Linked DNA regions of Caenorhabditis elegans. The protein of the gene in region 1 interacts with the protein of each later gene in a pairwise test. Each region holds a gene or a part of one and is shown on either strand. Other genes may lie near its edges.

Region 1 (6,203 bases):
TGAGTCCAATGTGACGACTCAGGTAAATTCCATCACGAGAGCTGGCAACCACGTTTCCTGAAATTAGAGGTTTTCTTTAAATCATTCTAAAAATAAAATCTTTCTACCAAAGATGACATGATCGACGGCATCTGCTCCAACATTAGCGTGCTTCAGCGCTGCTTGAGAAGCGACGACTCCCAAATCAGTTGCACTCAATCCTTTCAGCTTTCCACCAAAAGTTCCGAATGCTGTACGCTTGGCACCGACGATGAACACACCTGCAGACATAATATAAACATCACTGATCACTTATTAGTACAACGACCATGGACTTTGACCCCCACTCACATTTTCCTGCCATTTTGCAGTGTATTTGTGTGGTTCTGTAAATAAAAACGTTCTTATAAGTAGTAACAAATTATTAGGAAGAGGTGAAAAAACCTAAAAAAAAGGGCATTTAGAAAACTGCATAATTATTTTGAGAGGGGCTTTTGAACAAAAATAAAGTTTTTCGGTTGTTTGTTGGGCCGATAAGATAGGTAGAGAAGAGACGCAGAGACGAAAAAGAAGCAGAATGGCCGACTTTCGCGGTGTCTTTTTTATCATCATTCCCGCTACTTGTTCTCTGACCTAAAGGCTACATTCTACACTACAATAAGATACAAAATTGGGCCTGGAAACCACAAGGCAATATAATACAATTAATTTTCATCAATTTTATTAAACCAATCACAAAACAACGAGTGAAATACTAGCCAAGCAACGGGTGTAATTAAAAAACAAGTAGAGCAGATACAAAATGGTCTGCTTTAGACGGCGGATTTCTCGGCGACTGGAGCATCGGACGAGTGCAATGAAAGCTTGGCTTTCACAACCGAGCTGGTCTTCTTCTGGCAGCTCTCATGATCTTCGTAGCGGATCACATCGAACAGTGGCTTTGAGTGGTCCTTGGATGCGGCCATCAGCTTCTCCTTCAGCACAACTCTGAAATTCCAAAATTCAAGATAGAATTAAAAATAGACATGCATACCCAATCCTCATGTTGGTTTCATCATCGTTGCAATCCTTAGTCCAGACGCTGATCTTCGATCCTTTTCCTCTGACGTTGCACACCAACCCACAAATCGACTCCATGTCCTTTCCGAATTGCTCGCCGACCAAAGCCATGAGAATCTCCAGCCAAATAGCATCGACCATTTCGGGAGTCTTTCCCTTGTCAATGACGATGAGCCAGCGTCCTCCGTTCGAGTTTTCCGGAACCTCCCACATCGGCTGAATATCGTCACGGAAAACGTTGTAATCGCACAACGCGTTGAGGCCACTTGGTGGACGGATAGCATCGTAGAGAGCCCAGAACTCCGAGACGGTGTTGAAGGTGTACACCTTCTTCAGACGATCCTCCCAAGACTTGTTGCGCTCATCGTTCAAATACCACCACGTCCAGTTACGCTTCAGCGGATAAATGGGTGCCGTCGTTTGCTCCGTTTCAGTCATACCTGGAAGAACTCGATTAGTAAAATCAGTAAACAGAGAGAATAAATGAATGCAAATAAAAATGGGCACGTGGAACCAAAAAAGTGATGCAAAACGGCGAGAAACAGTTTTTTTGTGAATAATTTATAGTACTCAAACGATAATGAAAAAGGGAATGGCTCACCTTCTTTCTCCCCAGAGATTTTCAGCTTCTCAAATGCTATTTCAGAATCTGACATTTGCGCTTAAAATTTTCGCACCTCGACAACTGGCAAGGCAAAAACAGGACTGATCTGAGAAGCCGAGAACAACTGGGGAAAACGCCAACTAATCGTGCCCTAAATGACGTGCCATTGAAATATGGAGCGGGTCAGTAAAAAAATTCACGGGGAAAATAGGAAATGGTGGAATATAGTACAACAATTTTAAAAAGAGATTTAGAAATTATCGATGATGAATCAAGGTAAATACACAAATGAAGAAATAAAATGAGAACCCGTAGAAAAAAAAAGCGAAGAAAAACAATCTAGTTGTCGTAGTCATCGTCGGTTGGAGCCAAAGAGCCCTCTGATGGTCCTCCAAACATTTGTGCGTTTGCGGCTGCTACCGCCGCGGCTTGTGCTTGTTGGTGAGCAAGCTGCTGCTCAATTTCTTGTTGGCGTGCCTGTAAAATAAATATTAACATTGAGGAAATGAGTGTTTGTTTTATAAAAACAAAATTATTTTTGAAAACCTCAAAAAATTACCTTCTGAATTAATTCTTGTTGCATTTCGTACAATTTTTCCTCTGGAATACCACATTTTTCAAGACGAGAGTTCTTCCTTCGCAGCTTCTTCTCGGCTTCAACCTTGCAGGCATCGAGAACACTGTCGGCGGCCTCGAGATAATCTGGTGTGAATCCTAAATTCTGCAGTGCCTTCTGAACATGTTCGTGATATATTGTTTTTCTCTGATCCTGGCTCGCAATTCGTTGTGCTTCTCTCGCAATATGCTTCACGAACTCAACGCAGCAAGCATTGATCATATCTCTCGACTCGTTGGCGATTCGCATTTCAGGAACAACTTCTTTGATAATTTGGTTGATACCTTTCTGTGGAAGTCCGATTTCATTGTCCTCATCCATATCTGTGAAGAGTCTGAAAATTGTGTTGAAGCACTGCATTTTTAAGGGATCTAAAAGAGATATAAGGAATGAGAAATACATTATTAAAAGTTTAAAGATGAAATAAAATTAATATCAAACTGAGTACATTTATGCGAATATAAATATAATATTTTCGGAACAAATCTCACAAAATTCACAGAATTATCCAATTTTAGCATTGCTGAAGTCCATTTCAGGATGCTGTTTCATGAACTGTTGCAGCATATCATGCTTTTTCTTCTCATCAGACGTTGGAAGACCCATCTCCTTCTGCCTCTGATCATACATCATCTTTTCGACCATGGCACGTGTCTCTCCATCCAAGTCGCTCAATTTCGAGTTCTCTGGCTTCACTTCCTTAGTATTGATTGGAGGATCGGAATCAAGGAATCGATTCCACCATTCCATATCATTGATCTTCTCGAGAGTTAGGACAATCGCTTTCCCGTTTTCGATTACCCAGTTGCAATTTTCTACTTTAATGGCGTGAGGCAACTTTCCATCGACAATCGGAGCTTGATTCTTCAGGCCGACAGATACTGAAGTCTTCTCTATTTTGACGACAACGTCACGAGATTTGATAGCAAATCCAGCAGCAATTGGAATCTTCACCTCGAGTTCTTGGAGTGTTTGAGTCCATTGATATTTGGCAAGATCCGCACCATTTCCACTATTTGGTTTCATGAGCTTACTGTCCTCATCTTCGACTTCAGCGTCTTTCGATGTTTCTCCTTCGTTATCGACGAATTTTTCAAGATTTTCAACAGAATTTTTAGCCTGTTCCTTTTCAAACGCGGCCGCTTCCTCATCAGTGACTTCCACGACTTTCGCATTTCGGAACTCTTCCTCTTCCTTAGCTTTTTGTGCAGCTCTTCGTTCAGCAAGCTTCCTCTCCTGCTCTTCCTTCCGTTTCTTGGCTTCTTCAGCTTCCTTCATAGCCTTTCCACCGTGTTTATCGAATTTTTCGAGGAGAAGGGTCCGGGCTTGATCGACACCAGCGCCACTGTAGAAATCCGTCTTTCTGAAACAAAACATGTATTTATTAAGCACTTTGAAAAAATTTCTTACCTCGAAAGAAATTCAAATAGTACATCAAGCATTTCAGGCACTCCGCCGCTCAGCTGTTGGGCCATGGAGAGCAGCACCGAGTCGAATCGCTCATATTGAGACATTTTCTGAAATTTAAATATATTAATTAATAAAAACTACTTCCAAAACGAAGAAAAACATTAGGAAATCCGGAATTATTGAAAATAGAGCCTAAAATCAAGAAACATAGTTATTTCGCAATAATTACAGGACAAATTCTACTTAATCTAGTTAAAAACTTATTTTACAAACTAGAAAACCATTTATTTTGACAAATATCACTAGAAAAATTGAGTTATTTCGAAATTTCTGGTAAATCCTATTTTCGCCATGTTCCCATGGATACTGCAAGTGCCTGGGGAAAGCAGGTGGCTCATAATGCTCAATTATATTTCTGGGACAATGAGAATAGTTGAAAAATCAAAGAAAATCTGTGCGAAATCCCGCAAAATCGATAAATTAGGAGAGAAAATGTGTAAAATTGAAAATAAATTGCGAGCGCCGTTTTTTCTAGGCGCCTTGGCGCGGCGACTGGCGCAACTCTCGTGCTGACGCGAAACTCGATGCTACAGTAGTTTGATTTGAAATTTAAAAATTCAAATTTGAATTCAAAGTAATTTTCAGAAAAAAAAAGCAATAAGTTACCTAGTGCATTACTATTTCTCCCGTTAAAGAGAAAAACGGGTCTAATTGAAGAACAGATGGTGCTAATCAAAGAGAAAAATGCACACGCTTAGAAATTGGATTTTTCGAGACCTTTTCCATTTTGAAACTTTCTATTGATAATAAATCCAACTTAAATATTGATTAAGTTCACTTTTCCATTTACAAATTATTCCAAAAAAGACAGAAAAGCCATTACGTATGCTTAATTGCTTTTTTCTAATTAGACGTTCGACACTTCAGTACACGCTAGCATGGCTAATTAGATTGGAAACGAGGTCACCTCTCGTTTTTGTTTGTATGTCTGCGTTCATATTAGACTACGCATCGCGTTGAGAATCTAGTTAGAACACTATTTGTGTCTCCCTTTTTACGCGGCCTTTTTTTCTTTCTTGCAAAAAAATACGCATTTTATTTATGTTTAGTAGTTAACATAATTAAAATAGATGTTGACACACTTTTTTTAATAATAATTTAATAATAATTATTATTATTTTAAATACAGATAGAGTTTCAAATCAATTCACTAAATTTACCCTGTTTTATTGAAAAAAAAGCGGTGCGGCAGTGAGAGAGTATGTGGCGAAGAGACGGAGAGAAAGAGCATTCACTGCGAGACCTTGCGCGTCAAGTATGGCGAATTTCTCCATTTTCAAAACGTCTATGTAATATTAGTTTATAGGAACATTTAATGTAATAGAATATTGAAAAACAGAAGAAAGAAAACACCAGTAAACCGTTTTCGATAGACTATTTAAAAAGCTGATTGCATAGTTTCTCATTAATTTATTAGCTTCTTTTTTAAATTTAGTATGTACTGAAACTTGATTTTCTCGAAAAATCTAGATTATGTCAGAACCGGACCAGGGGGAGAGAATTTCCCCAACAGATGGTACACCCACTCAACGTGATTTCAACGAAACCAATGACTCTTACCCCTGCGGGACACATTCTCCTTTTCTTTCCGCGCAAATTTCCACATGGTCCGGTTGTAGTTGAAAATTGTAATATCTGAAAAAATTGAATACACTTTTTCGATATTCAATGATAATGTTCGTTTAGTTTATGTTTAATGTTTAGTTTAGCAGAGGTGCATTTTTCTACATATTGCTCAAAAATAAAATATCATAGATTTTACTGGAATTATATACAGTTTCATAATAATACTTAACCTATTTTTTAGGAGACAATGGCTTCCCGAGAAACTATTCTGGACGTTTTGGCAAAGTTGGAGGAGTGCAAAGAAACTTTGAATAATTCATTGAATTACGGTTGGTTTTTTTTGTATATTTTAATTTTTAATAGCGAATCTCAAAAAAATGATGTTCATTTTTTTAAATTAAAAAATTAATTCCTGTCAAATGAACAAAATATACCAAATAATTTTATTTTTAGCAAGAAATCTTTTGGCAAAAAACCAAAAAAAAAAAATAGTTTTTTGTCAAAAAAACCACAAACTCCTTTTTTGCTTAAAAAACAAAAAAAAATCCTTTTTTGCCAAAAAAAAATTAAACAAATTTTAACCAGAAAAATTCCAAAAAAAACATAGACGTGCCTACCAGGGGTGTGCGGCAAATCTCAAAATTTGCCAACAAATTCGGCAAATTTGGCAAGCTGAATTCTGAACAAACGTCTGGTTTCCGAATAAGTTCCGTGTAGTGTGTCTGCTCAAACATAAAAATAACTCAATGTTGTGTCATTTTACTAAATTTTTGGCGACAAAGTAAATAGTTTTGGTCAGAATTGCACTGTCAAATTTTTGATGTGGTCGGCAAATTCGGCAAATTTGCCGATCTCGGCAAACGGCAAATTCGGCAAATTTGACGCAAACCCCTGGTGTCTATATTTATA
Region 2 (8,504 bases), 7.7 Mb from region 1:
GAACGAGGAGCTTCATACCGACACAAATGTTAAGGTGAGCCAAGAAAAAGAAATGATGTGATCAGAAACCGTTTTTGTTTTTTCAGAGCATCCAATGTCCGGAAAAAGAATGGAAAACAGAAAGTGGCTTCATCGTTTCTTGCATTGAACCAATGAAAAAGTGGAGAATACAGTTCAATGGAAAATTAGCTTCAGCACCGGGGAAAATCAATTTTATTGTGAGTTTTTTGGAGTTTCCTATGTTTTACAAAGTATTGTCAATTTTCAGAAAAACGGATCCGAGGAGATGAAGGATGGCATAAAGATTTTTGACGCAAATTTCGACCTGACTTGGACGAATTTCGGTTTGTGAATTTAACGGTTCTAGTGAAATTCGTTTCAAAAAGTCAATCTTCATGTTGTCCACGTGGAGAACACGGATAAATATTCTTAAGAGCTGGTTAGCACTTCCTAGGGAATGTAATCTACCGCAGAGCGAACGTTCTGGAAAGGGGGCAAGCAATTTAGGGTTATGTCCTGAAATTCAATGTCAATTGTTTGTGCACACCTCCTACAGAGAAAATATTTTTTCTTCCGCGATAGCCAAAATTCAAAGAATCTTTTCCGCGGGTGAGCTTCGCGGTAAGTGTCCTGCTTTTTTGGTGACTACAAGAAATCTTCGATGGCGCCACCCACGCTTTTGTGAAATCTCAAGCCTCGCCCGCTTATTGGCCTCGCACGTCTTTTTACTTTATTTTCTATTTCCAGGAAATCAATTCGATTTCGACAAGATGTGCTCCCCCACTGCAATTGCTCATTCTTTAGCAATTGAGCCATGGAGCCGTGGACTCTTCGATAAAATGCGAGCATCCCATCAGTCACACTATGAACAATTTGGAACGATTTCTGGAGATTTTCGAATTGGAAATCACACTGCTTCTGGAATTCGAATGACGAGCATGAGAGATCACACGATTGCTGGATACCGCAGATGGTCAGACATTCGAAGGTAAAGTGGAACTTGTTTGCATCGTAGATTGACTAAATTTCCAGATATATCATGATGATTTACCATTTGGAAGATGGTACATGTGTTCATACTTCGGTTATTTCAATGCCAGAAACTGTTTTTAGTCACCTTGAATTTGGATATATTGTTACACCGTGGGTTGATGCATCTACGCTCCAAGAAAACACATAAAATGGCTCAACAGGGCGCATTTGAATTTTTCTGCGAGAGACACCACACATTCACAGCGTTTTGAAACCGTGGAATTCAATTCACGGAATATGTCAAAAAGTGACAATTACTCAGTTTTTCCACTTATAATTTTCGAAGTCACCCCAAAAAATTGTTTTTTTATCACATTTTTTAATACTTTAATTTTGTTTTAACTATTCGTATTAACACATTGTAGGGGTATGCAACATTGCTTTAGATTTTCTCAATAGCTCCTATTTTTCAATATTTTGGCAATTTGCGAAAGCTTACGAAAAATATAAACATTTTTGGAGTGTTTTATTATGATTTTTCGTCGTTTTGGATCATTATAAGTGTCCTTTAAGTCGTTTCGAGACCGAGTACCGTATTCTCGCAAAAGATTCTAGTAATTTCCTTAATGGGCAGAACCTAAATTTTTTTTTTCAGAACTGGTGAGACGAAGCCAGTGGATCGTGTACACTTCTCCCTTCCAAACCACGGAGAGGATCGTCATTTCCCTGATGATTTCCACTACTCGTTCGAAGTTGACGGCAAGATTCATCACGCAGATGTTCATATCAAGGAAGCCGTCTCATTCAAAATGGGATTGGATCAAGCATGTCAGGTCACCGAAGGAATGAGCGAATTCGTTGTCGACGGAAAGCCGGGATGGGGATTCGCGGAAGTCGAGTATCGTATTCAGCCGTATTAAAAAATTATCAAATTCAGATTTTCTACCTTTTCCACTTACTTTATAAAACCGTTTCATATGCTACTAACAAATGTGGGGTCAACGTGCAGAACAGAGCAACAGTAAAATGTACAAAAAATAATAAAACACTGGGAGGGGATAACAAGTTCCGAAGAACTAAAAACATGAGACAACAAAACATTTAGAACGAGAAAACAAAAACAAAAGAACAGAGATTGTAGCAGCTACGTAGCAGAAGTTGAAGCCCTTTTGTCAACCTCATCCAGTAGATAGTTCACCGTTTCTTGGACACTTTTGTCAATTGGAGTCTGTAAAACCAAATATTTCAAGTTTTCAAATTGTTCAGTTCTCTTACCCGAACAATATACTTTGTGCACGATTTGAAGCGAAGATATAGTCCCTTGCGAGGAGACTGCACCTCCAGAGGCTTCTCCTTTCTCGGGCGGCCTCTTTTGCGAACAAGGCTTGCCGTCGTGTCCTTCTTCGGCTGAACTTGCTCTATTTCGGGCTGCTTCTTCTTCATCACCGGAATCACTGCAGTCCTGGGAAGCGAGTAGGGAGTTTTGAGAGTTGGTGGACGAAGAATCCTCGGAGTTGTGATATTTGACCAGCGGAGAACGGTATTCTTGGGTGGTGGTTGATCTTGCAGATTTTGGGAAGACGTGGATGCTGTTGTGAAGTTTGTGAGTGGATGATGTCTTTTCTCATCTTCATCATTCTTCTTTTTCTCCACTGCAGTTTCTACTGGTTGCGTAGTGGGTGGTCTTCCAACCGGTCTTGCTGCTGAGGAAGAAGGACCATCAGAACCTTCCCTATTACGAGCCATCGATGCCTGATTAACTGAGTAGAACTGAGTGAGTACATGTGGAGCTCGCATGGTCTGCCCACAAAACTTCTCGGATCCGAAAGAAGACTTCAGGGAGGTCAGTTCGTTTCTCTGAAAAAAGTTAGATTAAATCTTCTTTGTTCTTTGAAACTTACCGAAACACCAACACGATCAGCACACTTTGGAATGATAGACATATTGGCAATCTCAATACATCTACGAACCGTCGCACTGCAAAATCCGGTCATCTGAGCCGACACCTCGTCCGGTTTCTGCCAAACAGTTCCAGCAGCTCGATCGCCGAGTCGTTTCGCGTATTCTCGATTCCAAATTGCTGTTCTAGCTACCATGACGCGTGTCTGATCGCAAAGATGAGCACGGATGGCAATAACGGTAGAATCGTCGACGAATCGGAAGGAGCTCATATCCACAGGCTTTTGAATTTCGGCGCAACGATAACATCTTCCATTGACTCCTTTGACGAAGGCGGGGGCCTGAATTTTGAAAATTGTTCGTTGTAGGTCTCGCCACAAATAATTTGATTTTGTAAAGTACTAGCCAGTGGCAAAATTTTAGGAAGAACTACGGTCGCACCACGAACAATTATCTCCAATCATCCCGGCGCAAAAATGTAAGCGCCTTTTAGAACTACAGTAACCCTTCTCCTCTTCTTTTCAATGTCGCTGAACTTTCTTATTTTTCGCCAAGATTTTTTTAATTTATTGAGAGAAACTGGAGTTGGGTTACTGTAGTTCTTCAAAAAATTTACCATTTTGTGCAACCATTAGATGAAAATATTTTTTGCTTATGATGAAAACAGGGAATGAAATAATATAATTATTGGATGAAAAACACTAGTAATTGCTGAAAAGTTTTTTTGTTAATGATAATGCAGGAAAATTCGAAATATTGAAGTTCCACTTTAGGGTTTTCCAAAAATATATAATTTACCGCCATATTCGAGTAGAACGTCATAGGAGTTTTATGATTATATGCAGGAATTTGGACACTTTTTGGAGCCACGGTACTGTTTTTGGCTTTTGGACGGAAGTTATTCGCTTGTCTGATCACGGCGTTTTTCGTCATCTCCAGAGCTACTTTTTTACGTTCCATTATCGATTTGGAGAGTGGAAGGATTGGAATTGCGCTCGCCGAAATTTTGGTTCGTAGAAGCTGTGATGGATTGATTTCCTCCAATCTGGAAAATTTGCTTTTTAGCAGGACTTATTAAACAAATTGTCATTATTTTGGAAGTCAAGGTTTTCAAAAACCCGAAATTCAACTTACTCAATTCGTTTTCCGACTCTTTCCGTATGTTCACTTCCAAGCGTTGCGTCTTCCTCGAGAATTTTCCCTTCACTTGGTTCGCTTACAGACTCCCGAGTACTTCCACTTTGTCGCTCGAGAATTGGCGGCGGTGTGACAGCTCGCTGGTACCGAGATCGCAGAAATTCCTCCTCATCAGAATCATAACTGTTTCGGAAGATATCTGAAGAGAAAATGAGCTTTAAAAAATCAAATTTTCATGGAAAATACCTCTTTTGGTTCGATTCGACTCAAATCTGGATATCAGAGATCGCTGTGGTGGAAGATCTGGTGGGCGTGTAGGGTCGGCCATAATTTTAATTCTGAAGACGGGTGATTGTTTTGTTTAATAAAAAACTTTTTAAAAACTAACGCTTCCTCCTCTTCGTCGAATCCAACAACGTCCACATCCTCATCAGAGTCTGTAAGCACTATTGGCTTAGATACAACAGGATTCGGATTTTTTGGAGAATTTTGTGCCTTTTCGAGTGTTACTTGTTGGTTATTAACAACTAACGGGGACTTCGACTTGTCTGTATTCTGAGAACGAATGACGTAGACTTCTGAAAACAATATTTTTATTTAACAGAGGACCATTTGCAAACAAACTTCTTCGTGGCAAATTTGGATCCGTAGCTTTTTTAACTGGCTTTGGTGGAGGTGGGAGACAGGAATCTCCGAATGAAGCCCATCCAATATGAGCTTTAGGTTCATAATTACTAGAAGATGCCGGTGGTGAATCAGTTTCGTCGTCGTCGTCGACTATCAGAAGATCATCGACGCTCAACGTTTTCTGGGATGTGGAAGGTTCATCATCTTTAGCAGTTTGCGGTTTTGGATCAACTTTTGGAAACTTGACCGCTGCTCGTTCTTCTTCATTCATAAAAGCAAATGACATTGGGGATATTGGTGGAAAAGCTGCGGGTGCAGGCTCTGTCGTCATGGAATTGTCTAGATTGGCAACAATGGGTTCAGAAGACATCCTGGAAACAAAAAATATGGAGATAAAATTTTTAAATTTAAATTTAAACTGTTTTTATTTACCAGAAAACTAGAAAATCCCAATGAGAAAGAAGGGAAATTAATAGAAAAATAAAGTTTTAAAAATACCTAAATTTTCTACAGTACCCGAGGTCTCGCGAAGATTTTGGTCCGCAGTACGCAAACACTCTTATGCTTGTTTACCGTAACCACTGAAATATTTTTTCGTTGTTTTTCTTTATTTAAAAAAAGTTATCTATTTTTCGAAATTTATTGAAAATTTCACATTTCAAAACCGTCAATAATTCTTTTAAAATTCATTTTTCGCAATATGGATTTTCTTCAAATGTTAAACCAGAGTTTTCTTGTAATTCCTTGAACAAATCACATTTTTAAATCACATAACCATTTTCGTTTCTGGAAATCTTCACTTTGAAGTTGAATTCTTGTTAGATTATATTTGTTTAACTCTGAAAAATAGTTAAAATGTGTGTTTTTATATGTTTTGTTTCAGATTTCCCCTGCTTTGTTTTCCTTTCCTAGACTAAGTTTTTAAATTTCGATCAATCCTTTTTCTTCATTTTACCCTCTCAAAACCATTTATTTACTCACTTGAGAGACGCAGAGAAACCATCGATGGCCTAGATGTCTCGTCTCGCCTCCTTCTCGGCCACGCGCGCCTATCTATCGATGTTTTTCTGCCTGTTCGCTCCGTTTTCTTTTTCGAATCTTGACCGCTTCGCATGCCTGTTCCGTTGCGGTTTCTGAAGCGTTTCGGTTGCGTCGCGGTTCCCGGCTCCGCCCTACTACCCGTTCGAGTCTCCCACGGTCTGTAGCACGTCTATCACCTATGTGAATGAGTGTGTACGATCATCTTCTTGCCAATCGGGTTATTGGGTTCAATGGATCGTAGATTGATATGAAACTCGAATTCGGGAAGGAATCGCCACGCAACGCAGCTAGAAATGCTTGAGAAACTTGCGAGAATTTGAGAAGAAAATAAATTTCAGAATTATTATTAAAAATTTCCAATGAGCGACCGACGGCGGCACGGAACAGAGGATTATCAAATCGCCGGTCTCAAGCATTCAATGACAAGTAAATCGATATTCATAGATTCAGAATTTCCAATAATTTTTCCAGGTGTCGCCTCAAGCTCCCACGGTGGTGCTGGAGACCTCCAACAACAATTTTCCAGGGAAGATCCACCCGTAAAAACTACGCAATACACACTTGTAAGCTGGAAAACGTTTAAAATTCAAAATTTTCAAATTTTCAGCTTCAACTAATCAATATGGTTCGAGAAAATCCGATTCTCTACGATGAGGAGATGCAAGCCGCCACGCCGGATGCTCAGTTGAAGGTTCAGAAACGAGAAGCATGGGATCGGATACGTGCTGATATAGTTTGGCAGGACATCACTCTTGTTCAGGAAGTCTGGTCGGATCTTCTCGATCAATATGCTAGAAAATCGATTGATATGTCCGATGGACTAATTGAGGCAATGCGATGGACAGATTCATTGATTTTTAAGAAGAAATGTAAGAGTTTCTTGCAAAGAAATACACCAAAATCATTTATATTTTCAGCAGACTCTCGACCTCCTTCACAGCTCACCGCAATGTCCTCCGGACTGGATAAGGATTTCTATAATGACGTTCCGCTGGCAGAAGATGTATTAGAACCCGGACAAAGTCTCGGAAATTCTGAATCCATGAAGTTCGATTATGTGGTTATTCAGCCTCATGTTAGGCCACATCAACAAATTCCCACATCTTCATATTCCCGTCGAAAATCACCACAATCAAGAGAAACAGAGGCAATTGTTCGAACTTATCCATTATCGCCGAAGCGGATAGTGGTAAGTGCAAAAACGATGAAGTAATTACTACTCAGACCCTAATTTTTCCGATTTTTGCTGACTATGAGATAACCGGTCTCGTCACAACAATTTTTGTTAAATACGACAAGATGCGCGCCTTTAAGGAATACTGTAATTCCAAACTTTTGTTGCTACGGAATTTTCATCGATTTTCATAGCTTTTCAACAAAAATTTGAAATTACAGTACTCTTTAAAGACGCACACTTTATTGTATTTAACAAAAATTAGTCATGTCGAGACCTGGTACCGTATGTTTGGCGCAAAAATCGCAAATTTCACGTCTGGGTAATAGCAAAGGCAAGCATTCAAAAACCCCTTACCGGCCTCGCTTGCGGTGATGCACGGGTGGCCTACTGGCTAACACTCTCGTCTGCAAAGCAACAGTCCACAAGTTCGACCCCGCTTCATGGTGCATTACACTTTGTAACTTGCATTGTGTGCGCGACTAATGAAGCAATACCAATATCTGCAGTATCTGCTCATTCGCCGTGTTGTAGTTGATGAGCTCGTAGTCCGATAACAATTTTTTGATTTTTTTTCATTCCAGCAACAGCATCGTATGCCACAGAAGAATAATCCAGACCAACAACATCAAATGAATGAAGTCAAAAAGGAAGTTAATCCGTTTGGACGACAAGGTGTATTGGTGGAGGTGGAACCATCACCCTCCTATGCTCAATCGAATACGAAAATTTACAAAATGGTCTCCGCGCATAGAAGTGCAACGCCGCAACCTGCAGTTACAGTGGCTTCATCTAGAAGATTGGTACATATGGTAGGAAAAAATAATTTATTTAAATAAGAATTAAATTTTCAGCCTCACCGAACAAACTCCCTGGTTTATGATTCGATGCCAGAACTTATAGATTCGTGAGTTTTTTTTTTACTTCTTAAACTTCACTTAATAAAACATTTCAGTTCAAATATGCCATCGGAACCACCAAAAAAGAAAATACACTTGGAAGTGGGTCATCGAAATAGTGAAATGGTCGGTGTATCAACCTCATCAAATGCCCCGTGTCTACCCAAAGAAATTCTAACCGATGGAGTCCCAATTGCCGACGATGAGATTATTTTAGAAGCTGATGGAGAGTGTAAAATAGGTTCTGGAATGCTTCTGGAATCTCAACAATCAAGTTCACAAAATCATGAAATGGATATGCCATCAACTTCAATGGATCATTATCATCATCAAGATATTGGTAATTTTTCGCTGGAAAAATATGAATATTGAATGAATTTTCAGATGATGGGGGTGTTGGAGATGATATTGAGCAGCAAGTGGTGGTTGGAGGACCTTCTGATGAAATGGCGATACAATATGATGAAGATCTCGCATTTCAACAACATATCAATAGTGTCTTGAACAGGTTATCTGATGATGAGGTAATTTTTGGTTTTTAACAAAATTTACGCGGAAGAGTTTTAAAAATTCGATTTTTCATTAATAAATTGGAGTTTTATACAAAAATTCGAATTTGGATATAAAAAATTTTTTATAGGAAGAAATGTCATTTGCTTACAAAATTTAAATTTTGAGAAAAAACATTGAAAATTGTGGACAAAAATCGAATTTCTCAGAAAAAAGTGAAATTTTCCAAAAAGAAAAAAATACAA
Region 3 (7,851 bases), on another chromosome or scaffold:
TCCTAACATCTTTTTGGTTTATTCAAAATTCAAAAATGTGAATTATTCGGTCACCTTGAATACAGAAGGAAGTACTCGACATTTCTCATATAATTGATTTCTCAATTGATTCTCCGATAGACCAACTCGATGTTTTGTAACTGACAATAATTGAGTGCACATGAAACATCCCAAGTTAGACGGAGTATTTCCATTTGGAGAAGGAGATGCTCTGTAAATTTGAAATTGTTTCTATGATAAAATCTACTCAACAAATTTTTTTCTGTTTCTTAAATAATATATGTTATTTATCAGTTATCTAAATAATTGATACATATTTGAAAATTCTTTGTTCGACAAGACTAAAAGCATTAAGTAGTTTTAATATTTGAAATCTTTGAATTATTTGAAATTATTTGAAATCATCTCAAAAAAAGAGAGAAAAAATTAATAAAAATGCACAGTATCAAGAATTTTATATATCTAGTTATTCACTATGTGATATATCACATGCTTTAACTTTCTTTCGTTATTATGTGTCAGCAGTCAGGTGCTCTGTGTTAAGAATCAACTAGAAAGTTTAGTTGTATCAATTAATTATGGAAAATTTTTTGAGTTTGAATTTTTTCTTTCAAGATATCCATATTATTATTGTAATTTTTGAAAAATAGTAGGGGATGCACAGATGCACTGAAAATTTGAAATTGCTCTTGAAAGGAGGGTTTCTCAAGTTCGTTGATTTTCTTTGAAAACATGGAAAAAAAGTGACACTCGCATAAACTTTTTAAAAATGTTACTCATTCAAAAAAACCTAAATACAAAATGTACAGTTTCAACAATTTGATATTTAGTGAAATTATTTGAAAATTGATCATTTTTAATCAAAATAAACTCACCTCTCTCTGACAACTGGTTCTTCGTTCCAAAAATATGTAAAAGTGACTTGAAATTGCTGACCTAACACGGCAAAAACGAAAAATAAATTAATTCTCATTTTAAGAAGAGAGTTTGAGATCCGGTGAAAACGGAACTTATTATTATTATTGAAATTCAATGAGTGAAACAGAAACAATTGAAAATAGGAGGAGCTACCCGGGAGCCCAAAATAAAGACAAGAAGAAGAAGACGTCTATGTTCTCTATATTTCGCACCTCAAGCACTGTATTTGGTAAGAGAAGCGCCGAAAGAGCGTGCGAGATGAAGAGACGCAGACACTCGAGATGTGCGAATTTGAGCACCCGAGTTGAGAGCATCGTTTGCACACTTGTGATCCTTCCTCTCGATTGCCTTATTTCGCCACTACCTCCTACTGTATGTGTACTATTATAATTGAACGAAAATGATGAACAAAGGGTTTGGAGACAATCGAATCGTGCTTAAGATCACTTTTTTCATGTCTCAGATGGGATATTAGCTTGAGAATTTTGAGAATTTTTTTGTTGATATTTTTATAAAAGAGGCAAAATTGTGAATAATATTTCAAGAGCAAAACTCTATAAATACATCAAACTTTAGAAAACTGTAAAATACTTTTTTCTTAATTTGTTTTATTATTAATGTTGGAGATGTAATAAAGTTTTCAATAAATCTCGGAAATTCAAAGTGTTATCACTCCTAGAGATGACTTTTTTAATTGGACACTTTGTGAAAATTATCTTCAGAGGAGCATTTTATACTAGAAAAATTGATCTCGCCGTTTTTTTTTAATTAGGCTTTTAAAATGCGAAAATCTTCATTGTCCTAAAATCAGGAGTAATGTTTTAAAATCTGTTGGTAGAAATTTGAAATTTCTTAATCTAAAACTCTTGGCATTTCCTCCTTAAAACTGCTCTCCTGAAGATAAAAATAATCAGCATAACTTTTGCAAAATTCGCATATCAATAATTTTTAGTAAATCTTTTGAAGTTTTCAGAAATAAAATCAACTACCATAATTGAGAAAATCATATTTCTAACTTTCAAATATATAAAACAATTAACAGAAACAAATGTAACAATTAATTCACACAAGAACAGAGTTAAGTATTTTAAAACATCCCAACAGAAGATGAGGAACATTATTGATAAGATTGATGCTGGTACTTAACAATAAATTGAACCATGCTATAACTTTGAAAAAGAATCGACATTTTTATATTTTAGAAGTTATGATTGGCGTAAACGAGATGAGCAGCAAAATCATATTTTCCATCGCATAGGCTTCCACAAAGTGAGCATTTGAACGGAATATCATCTGAGTGGAGTCCACTGTGCAAATACCACATCACTTTGTCATCGAATCTGATTTTACAGTAATCGCAGTACTGAAATAATTGTTTTTTTACAAAATACGTTTTTTCCCAGAGGTACATACCCAGCTCTCTGGACCATCCAACTCTTCTTCTTCGGGAGTTTCGATTTCCGTAGATGGTGTTGGAGACAACTCTTTTGCGGATTTTACAGATCTAGAGCACTGTGGCAATGGGGCTTGTGAAACAGTGCTATGAAGCGGCTGAAAATATTATGTTACCAGTTGAAAATTCAATTTCAAATTTCTTACAAAGAGTGGTGCGATTTCAGTTTTGAAAAAGTCAAAGATTCTATCAAAATCATCTGGATTCTTGATGGGGTTCAAGATTGAAGTAGTGGATTTTGGAAGAATTGGAGCAGGTTTGAAAGAGAAGAATTTCTGAAAACTAAGGAGATTTATATATATCTACCAAAATCCAATCTATACATAGTGCACGTCTGACTTTAGTAGAGATTTTGTAGAAATAGCGAAAAAGTATTTTGAAATTCAATTCAATTATGTGGAGAAGTTCGAGTATAGTGAATTCTATTTTAGATCAATTTTTCTAATGTTTTGAAGCTTTCAAGTATTTTCGATTGCAAGACCCAACGGTTTTCAAAATTTTACTTTTAGTCTCAAATGAAAAGTTTAGTCAACATTCGGCAAGAATCGGATCAAACGTAGGCTAAACTTAACACATCACAGCTATAACCTACTCGTAAGCAAGTAGCTGATGTAAAATCCAAATAAAAACAGTGTGTGCTTCAATTCTTCCACAGAAAAAAGTACTCACCGTATGATCCAGGTGTGCAGTATGAAAATGAAGCAGAAGACGATGGGAACTGTTGAACCATTTGATGCAAGATTTACATTTAGCTGGAGACGATCCTCTTATGATATGCTCCGAATCTACATGAAACTGCAAACTCGTGAAGCTGTTGAACTTTGAATTGCACGCTGTGATGGGACATTCAAAGGTATTTCCTTTCTTGATATGGGTCATCATGTGCTCTTTCATCTGAGTTGGATTAAAAGTTGAAGAGATTGTTTTCTAATCTGTTTAATGTTTCAAGAAATAATGCTTAATGCTTTATACTACTAGAAAGCTCGATCTTTCTCAAAGTATATTTGAAAATACAACTTTTCTTGCATAACTGAAACTTTCATATAAAAAACTGATGGTCAGATCTGGAAAAAGTAAACGACTTTTAACAATCTTAACTTTGTTTTCAATAAAAATATTTAAAACAAAGCTTTTAAATTTTCTCTAGCTAACAGTAAATTAAAGCCAACGTATCAGTACACATCCACAGAAAAATAATTCCCCTACATCATTTGGCATGCTGGGTGCTAATTCTCTTTTAATTTTTTAGTGCTTTGGCATTAAACATTTATTTTTGAACAGATTCGCAAATCACAGATACCAGTAATCGTAAATTGCATTCAGTGATTATTAAAAACATCATGAAACACATAATTAAAATTTTTGTGTCAATTTCTGAAAATCAATAACACAGATTGTTTCATTCTGCTTTAAATCTGATGTACGAGTGATAAATTGAGTCAACTTTTAGGAAGCTTTTTTCTAGCATTTTTTTTAACGTTTCGACAAAAAAATCGAGTTATTTGTAAGCGTTTGGAATAATTTCAAGTAATTAACTTTCGTAAAGTAGGTTACTTAGTGAATTTTTTTGGTCACTAGAGATAAAGCTTGTACTAAAACGACTAAACTTTATAAAGAAACTTCAATAAAATATCCTCTATACAAATTTATCGGAAAACCACAAGAACTAACCCGATCATTCCGAAAAAAAGGTCTTCTGCAGAACTGACATTCAAACTTCTTTTTTCCACTGTGCATCACCTTATGACGATTCAAGTTTGTCTGAAAAAATATACATGGAAATCAAAATTTTTCTACGATTTTAGTAACTTGTTTTTTGTTGCTTTTCGATTTGAACAATGTTGTAAATTGATAATTAAAAAGAAATTTTCTAAAGATTTGAGTCTTGCGTCTCAGTTTTTCAAGAGCCAAACAAGAAAGTAGTTTACGAAACCATAAGTAACCTGGTAGGCACTTTAGTTTCTACCTATAACCTTTAGTACTCTCCACTCACCTTATTGGAAAACTTCTGGTGACAAATATCGCATTTTTCCATTTTGTAATTTGGAAGCTGGGAGGAATAAAGTCAGAGAGTGTCAGAAAGTGACTATAGGATTTTCTATTCCAAACTTTGGGTGGAGCACAAATTGTTTATAACTTCTCGGGTACTGTCGAAGGTCATTTGGGGGAAATATACAATCCTAGGTGTCAGATATCTTAACAAGTCGGAGAAGAAGCACATCTTCCGACATAACAGATAAGCCGGCTGCCGCTACTTGCCAGATGGTTGGTGACAAACTGGGGTGATATATAGTCAGAGGTCACTTTCATGATTTGGAAGAGAAGGTAGCAAATATAGTGGACAAATTGATATTAAATTACAATTGGGGTCAATTTTAAGAACAGTTACAGTACTTTGGACTGTACGAGTAAAAAAATCCTTTTTTTTTTTTAGAATTAAATTTCCTGTTTCATAGAAAACATTTGTTTGACTGATTTTAAATGTTTCATTCGGTTTTTATTTATCTCTGTAAAGTCTTTTCATTATTGTTAGAATTCAGAATTTTTACAGATTCATGAATTCACTAAAATTTTATGAGTTTCAGGATTTGTTAGTTTCAACAATAGAATCCCCCATCTCCTGCAAAACCGCAAATCACGTGGCGAAAAAAAGCGTTTTGTTCATAGCGTAATGCTCTTCCTTCTTCCTAATACATTAACCATGGCACAAATCGAATAAATTAGCATAATGTGTCCAGGAAGAAGACGACATTGGAAGACGTTTCTGGAGAAAAAGGGAAAAAAGGAAATCAAGTTTTTTCTCTTTTACCTTGGATGTCTGTAATATAGGATTACATGCCGGAAGAAGGTGAAGAGTGCAAAAATATTAGTTTTTAATGGAAAATGCTTTCGATTTTAATGTCAGGAATCGAAGATTCTCCGTGATAAACTTCTGGAAATAATATTTATATTTTTAGTTATCGGCTTTTTGGTGTATGAGATCTGATTTATTCAGTATCCAAAGATAGCTGGAGAGGTCTTACTCAAGAAAATGTTTTCATTTATTTTCAAAAAAATATCACTGTTTCAACAAACCCTTAAAATCAAGCTATAAAAGGCAGAAATGTTTTCAATCGAGATAAATAGGCTCTGATATTTTTTCAGATCTGAAAAATAACTATGAGTTTGATGGAAAGAATGAATGCCATTTTTCAAATTGAACACGTTTCAAATAGTCCATAAAACAGTTAACAATTAATTAATTTTAATCGGGATCATGCTCGACCTCTAAACGTATTATTTCCAAAATTATCCGGTGAAGATTTAGATAAAATATTTAAAAATCCGTCACATTTTTTTCGCATTTTCCGAAAATTTCACAGTTTCAACATAGCTAGAAATTAAATGTATTTTAAATTCAAACTGATTGCAACGGAATTTTAAATGTGAAATATTCAAATGTTTTTAACGTCCAACAAAACCACTGTTTCCTCTGTTTACAGTTTCTAAAGTAGTCCAAAAACCGAAAAATGAAAAAGTTTTGATTTTATTCTCTACTTATTTTTTTGCTATTTTTCATCTTGTACCTTCTACATCATCACTAATTCTGTCTAATGCTCTTGTTGCTCTTCTTCTTCCTCTGCTCATGTTGTTACTTTTTCCTAATTCCCAGCTTTTTTCTCTCTGCTTACCAGTCTAAATAATAAAAATGAGAAATCATAAATACTAAGTTGAAACAAGATACTGCAAAAGTGATATGAAATTAGTTTTAGTGATGTAAATCTTTAACTGTTTCAATATCCTTGTAACTACAGTATACTATAGTATTGATAGTTTTGATAGACTTCCTTAACGCTAGGGCATATTTATGTTTAGTGGTTCTTCAAACAAAAAAAACGTCGCGGGTAGAATATTGACTTTCTTCTCCAAATCTTTCAAATATTTTTAAAATTTGACTTTAACGATTTGAGCCGCCTATTTCACAGCAGCTTTACCAACAATCCGCTCACAATTATGAAAATAAAAATGAAAAAAGGATTACCCCTTAATTCAAATTTTTCCCGGGGTCTATAAATGTTGCACAAAGTTGTTGGAGCGGGACCTCTTGGGAACCATAGGCTCCGCTCAAAAAGTGCCGTGCGCTAGATAGTGTTCTTCATGACGTCACTGGAACAAATATAATTTTTTAATAAATTTTCGTTGAGTGAAATTGTAGAAATTTGCTTGAGTTTTTCAAAAAAAAAAACGACATGAGAATCGATTTTCATGAATCCGTGTTTAATTTTTTTTCGGTTTCATTTTTTTCTTAAAATGCCAAGCAGCACAGCATTAATGGATATGCTTTGAAATGTTTTAAATTAAGAATAGGTATTTTATTCCCTTAAACGCTAAATTAGTTCGCAACAAGTGTACAAAACCACTACTGTAATCACACTGTTCTTAAAAATGTAAAAACTATTTTTCATTAAATGGATTTAGCGGAAAATATACAGTTAACTCCACGGCATTGCAGAAATATGTTTAAAAAAAAGTACAAAAAAAGTCGAAAAAATCCATCGAAAAAAAGATAAGTGGAAGAAAGGCGGAGCCTGTTTTTTTGAATTTTTTCAAATTTTTAAAAGAAATTTCAGACGAAAGTTCTACAATTCATGACACTGTATAAAAAAATTAGCCTCAAAATTGTCTGGGCACCCATTAATACTATAACCAAAATTTGAAAATTGTTATTTTCATCGGATGCGTAAATTGAATTTCCGTTCTTCTTTCTCTTTCTCATCATTTTACATCCGAATACCCATTTAAAATTCGAGAAATCCCGCGCCGCCGACAAAAAACTTTGTTCCATTTCCTCATTCTTCCTGTACAGAGATTGGTGTTGTTTTTTGCCATCTGCACCCCCATTTTGTGTCTGTCTCACTCTTTTTGTGCTTCTTCTTTTCTGAAATAATTGTATAATTTCTCCTTCTCTCCTAAATCGCATTTTCCCATTCTCGCCTCTCCCTTACTTCTTTGCTGACAAGGCTCAATGTTCTCTTTTTTGTCGTATTTTTCTAGATTAGAAGGACCTTCTTTTTGTTTTGTCTGTCTATTATCTTTCATAATGACCAGAAATTGAAAAGAACAAAATATTTCAATTGAAATTAGTAACAGGAATAGCAACCACATAATGCTACAGTATAACATGTGACTTTGAAACAGTAATTTTTTTCAATTTTTTTTTCAAAATTTGATAGCCGCGCCCAACTAATTTGAAGAATTAATTGTTCAATTTTCCACAGAATGGCCACAGTGAAGGGTCTCCAACTTCGCCTATAACATGGGCAAGGCTTTATAGGCTCCGCCCACTAAGTGCCCCATCGAAACTATGAAAAAATAAATTATCACTATTTTTCAACTTCAAGAAAACTTTGACTGTCAAAAAATAGTTTGAAATGTGTTTAAGGGCGTGTTTTTTTATCAAAGATTTAAAATTTTCGCAATGTACCGGTTAATACTCAAAC

Evidence for each region.
Region 2: the proteins of dro-1 (region 1) and xnd-1 interact in a two-hybrid assay, tested with the Caenorhabditis elegans proteins (one large-scale study listed by BioGRID).
Region 3: the proteins of dro-1 (region 1) and ehn-3 interact in a two-hybrid assay, tested with the Caenorhabditis elegans proteins (one large-scale study listed by BioGRID).

The regions. Positions count from the first base shown.
Region 1 is NC_003281.10:13,339,099-13,345,301, reverse strand, and holds dro-1 (Protein Dr1), read right to left. Parts: upstream 2,619-6,203; coding exon 2,202-2,618; intron 2,120-2,201; coding exon 1,982-2,119; 3' UTR 1,695-1,981; coding exon of another isoform or gene 1,640-1,694; 3' UTR 1,590-1,639; downstream 1-1,589. Other genes in the region: acaa-2 (3-ketoacyl-CoA thiolase, mitochondrial), read right to left, coding at 1-57, 108-260, 331-343; ife-1 (eIF-4F 25 kDa subunit), read right to left, coding at 792-966, 1,013-1,478, 1,640-1,694; nud-1 (Nuclear migration protein nudC), read right to left, coding at 2,763-3,621, 3,669-3,772; F53A2.3 (Phosphoprotein), read left to right, coding at 5,542-5,623.
Region 2 is NC_003281.10:5,600,962-5,609,465, reverse strand, and holds xnd-1 (X chromosome NonDisjunction factor), read right to left. Parts: upstream 5,007-8,504; 5' UTR 5,006-5,006; coding exon 4,633-5,005; intron 4,587-4,632; coding exon 4,397-4,586; intron 4,347-4,396; coding exon 4,255-4,346; intron 4,208-4,254; coding exon 4,006-4,207; intron 3,917-4,005; coding exon 3,670-3,916; intron 3,213-3,669; coding exon 2,874-3,212; intron 2,830-2,873; coding exon 2,248-2,829; intron 2,201-2,247; coding exon 2,117-2,200; 3' UTR 1,910-2,116; downstream 1-1,909. Other genes in the region: C05D2.8 (DUF7064 domain-containing protein), read left to right, coding at 1-34, 87-218, 269-344, 748-988, 1,033-1,143, 1,628-1,892; madf-11 (MADF domain-containing protein), read left to right, coding at 6,036-6,102, 6,148-6,239, 6,284-6,545, 6,594-6,865, 7,435-7,662, 7,705-7,757, 7,806-8,089, 8,134-8,273.
Region 3 is NC_003282.8:5,414,790-5,422,640, forward strand, and holds ehn-3 (Zinc finger protein ehn-3), read right to left. Parts: upstream 4,434-7,851; 5' UTR 4,407-4,433; coding exon 4,365-4,406; intron 4,133-4,364; coding exon 4,043-4,132; intron 3,674-4,042; exon of another isoform or gene 3,653-3,673; intron 3,380-3,652; exon of another isoform or gene 3,359-3,379; intron 3,266-3,358; coding exon 3,041-3,265; intron 2,698-3,040; exon of another isoform or gene 2,677-2,697; intron 2,647-2,676; coding exon 2,518-2,646; intron 2,470-2,517; coding exon 2,332-2,469; intron 2,282-2,331; coding exon 2,117-2,281; 3' UTR 1,910-2,116; downstream 1-1,909. Other genes in the region: spp-7 (Saposin B-type domain-containing protein), read right to left, coding at 1-2, 55-211, 876-973. UniProt on the Caenorhabditis elegans protein: Together with the zinc finger protein ztf-16, plays a role in gonadogenesis, specifically in somatic gonad precursor cell development. This is possibly by regulating tra-1 gene expression.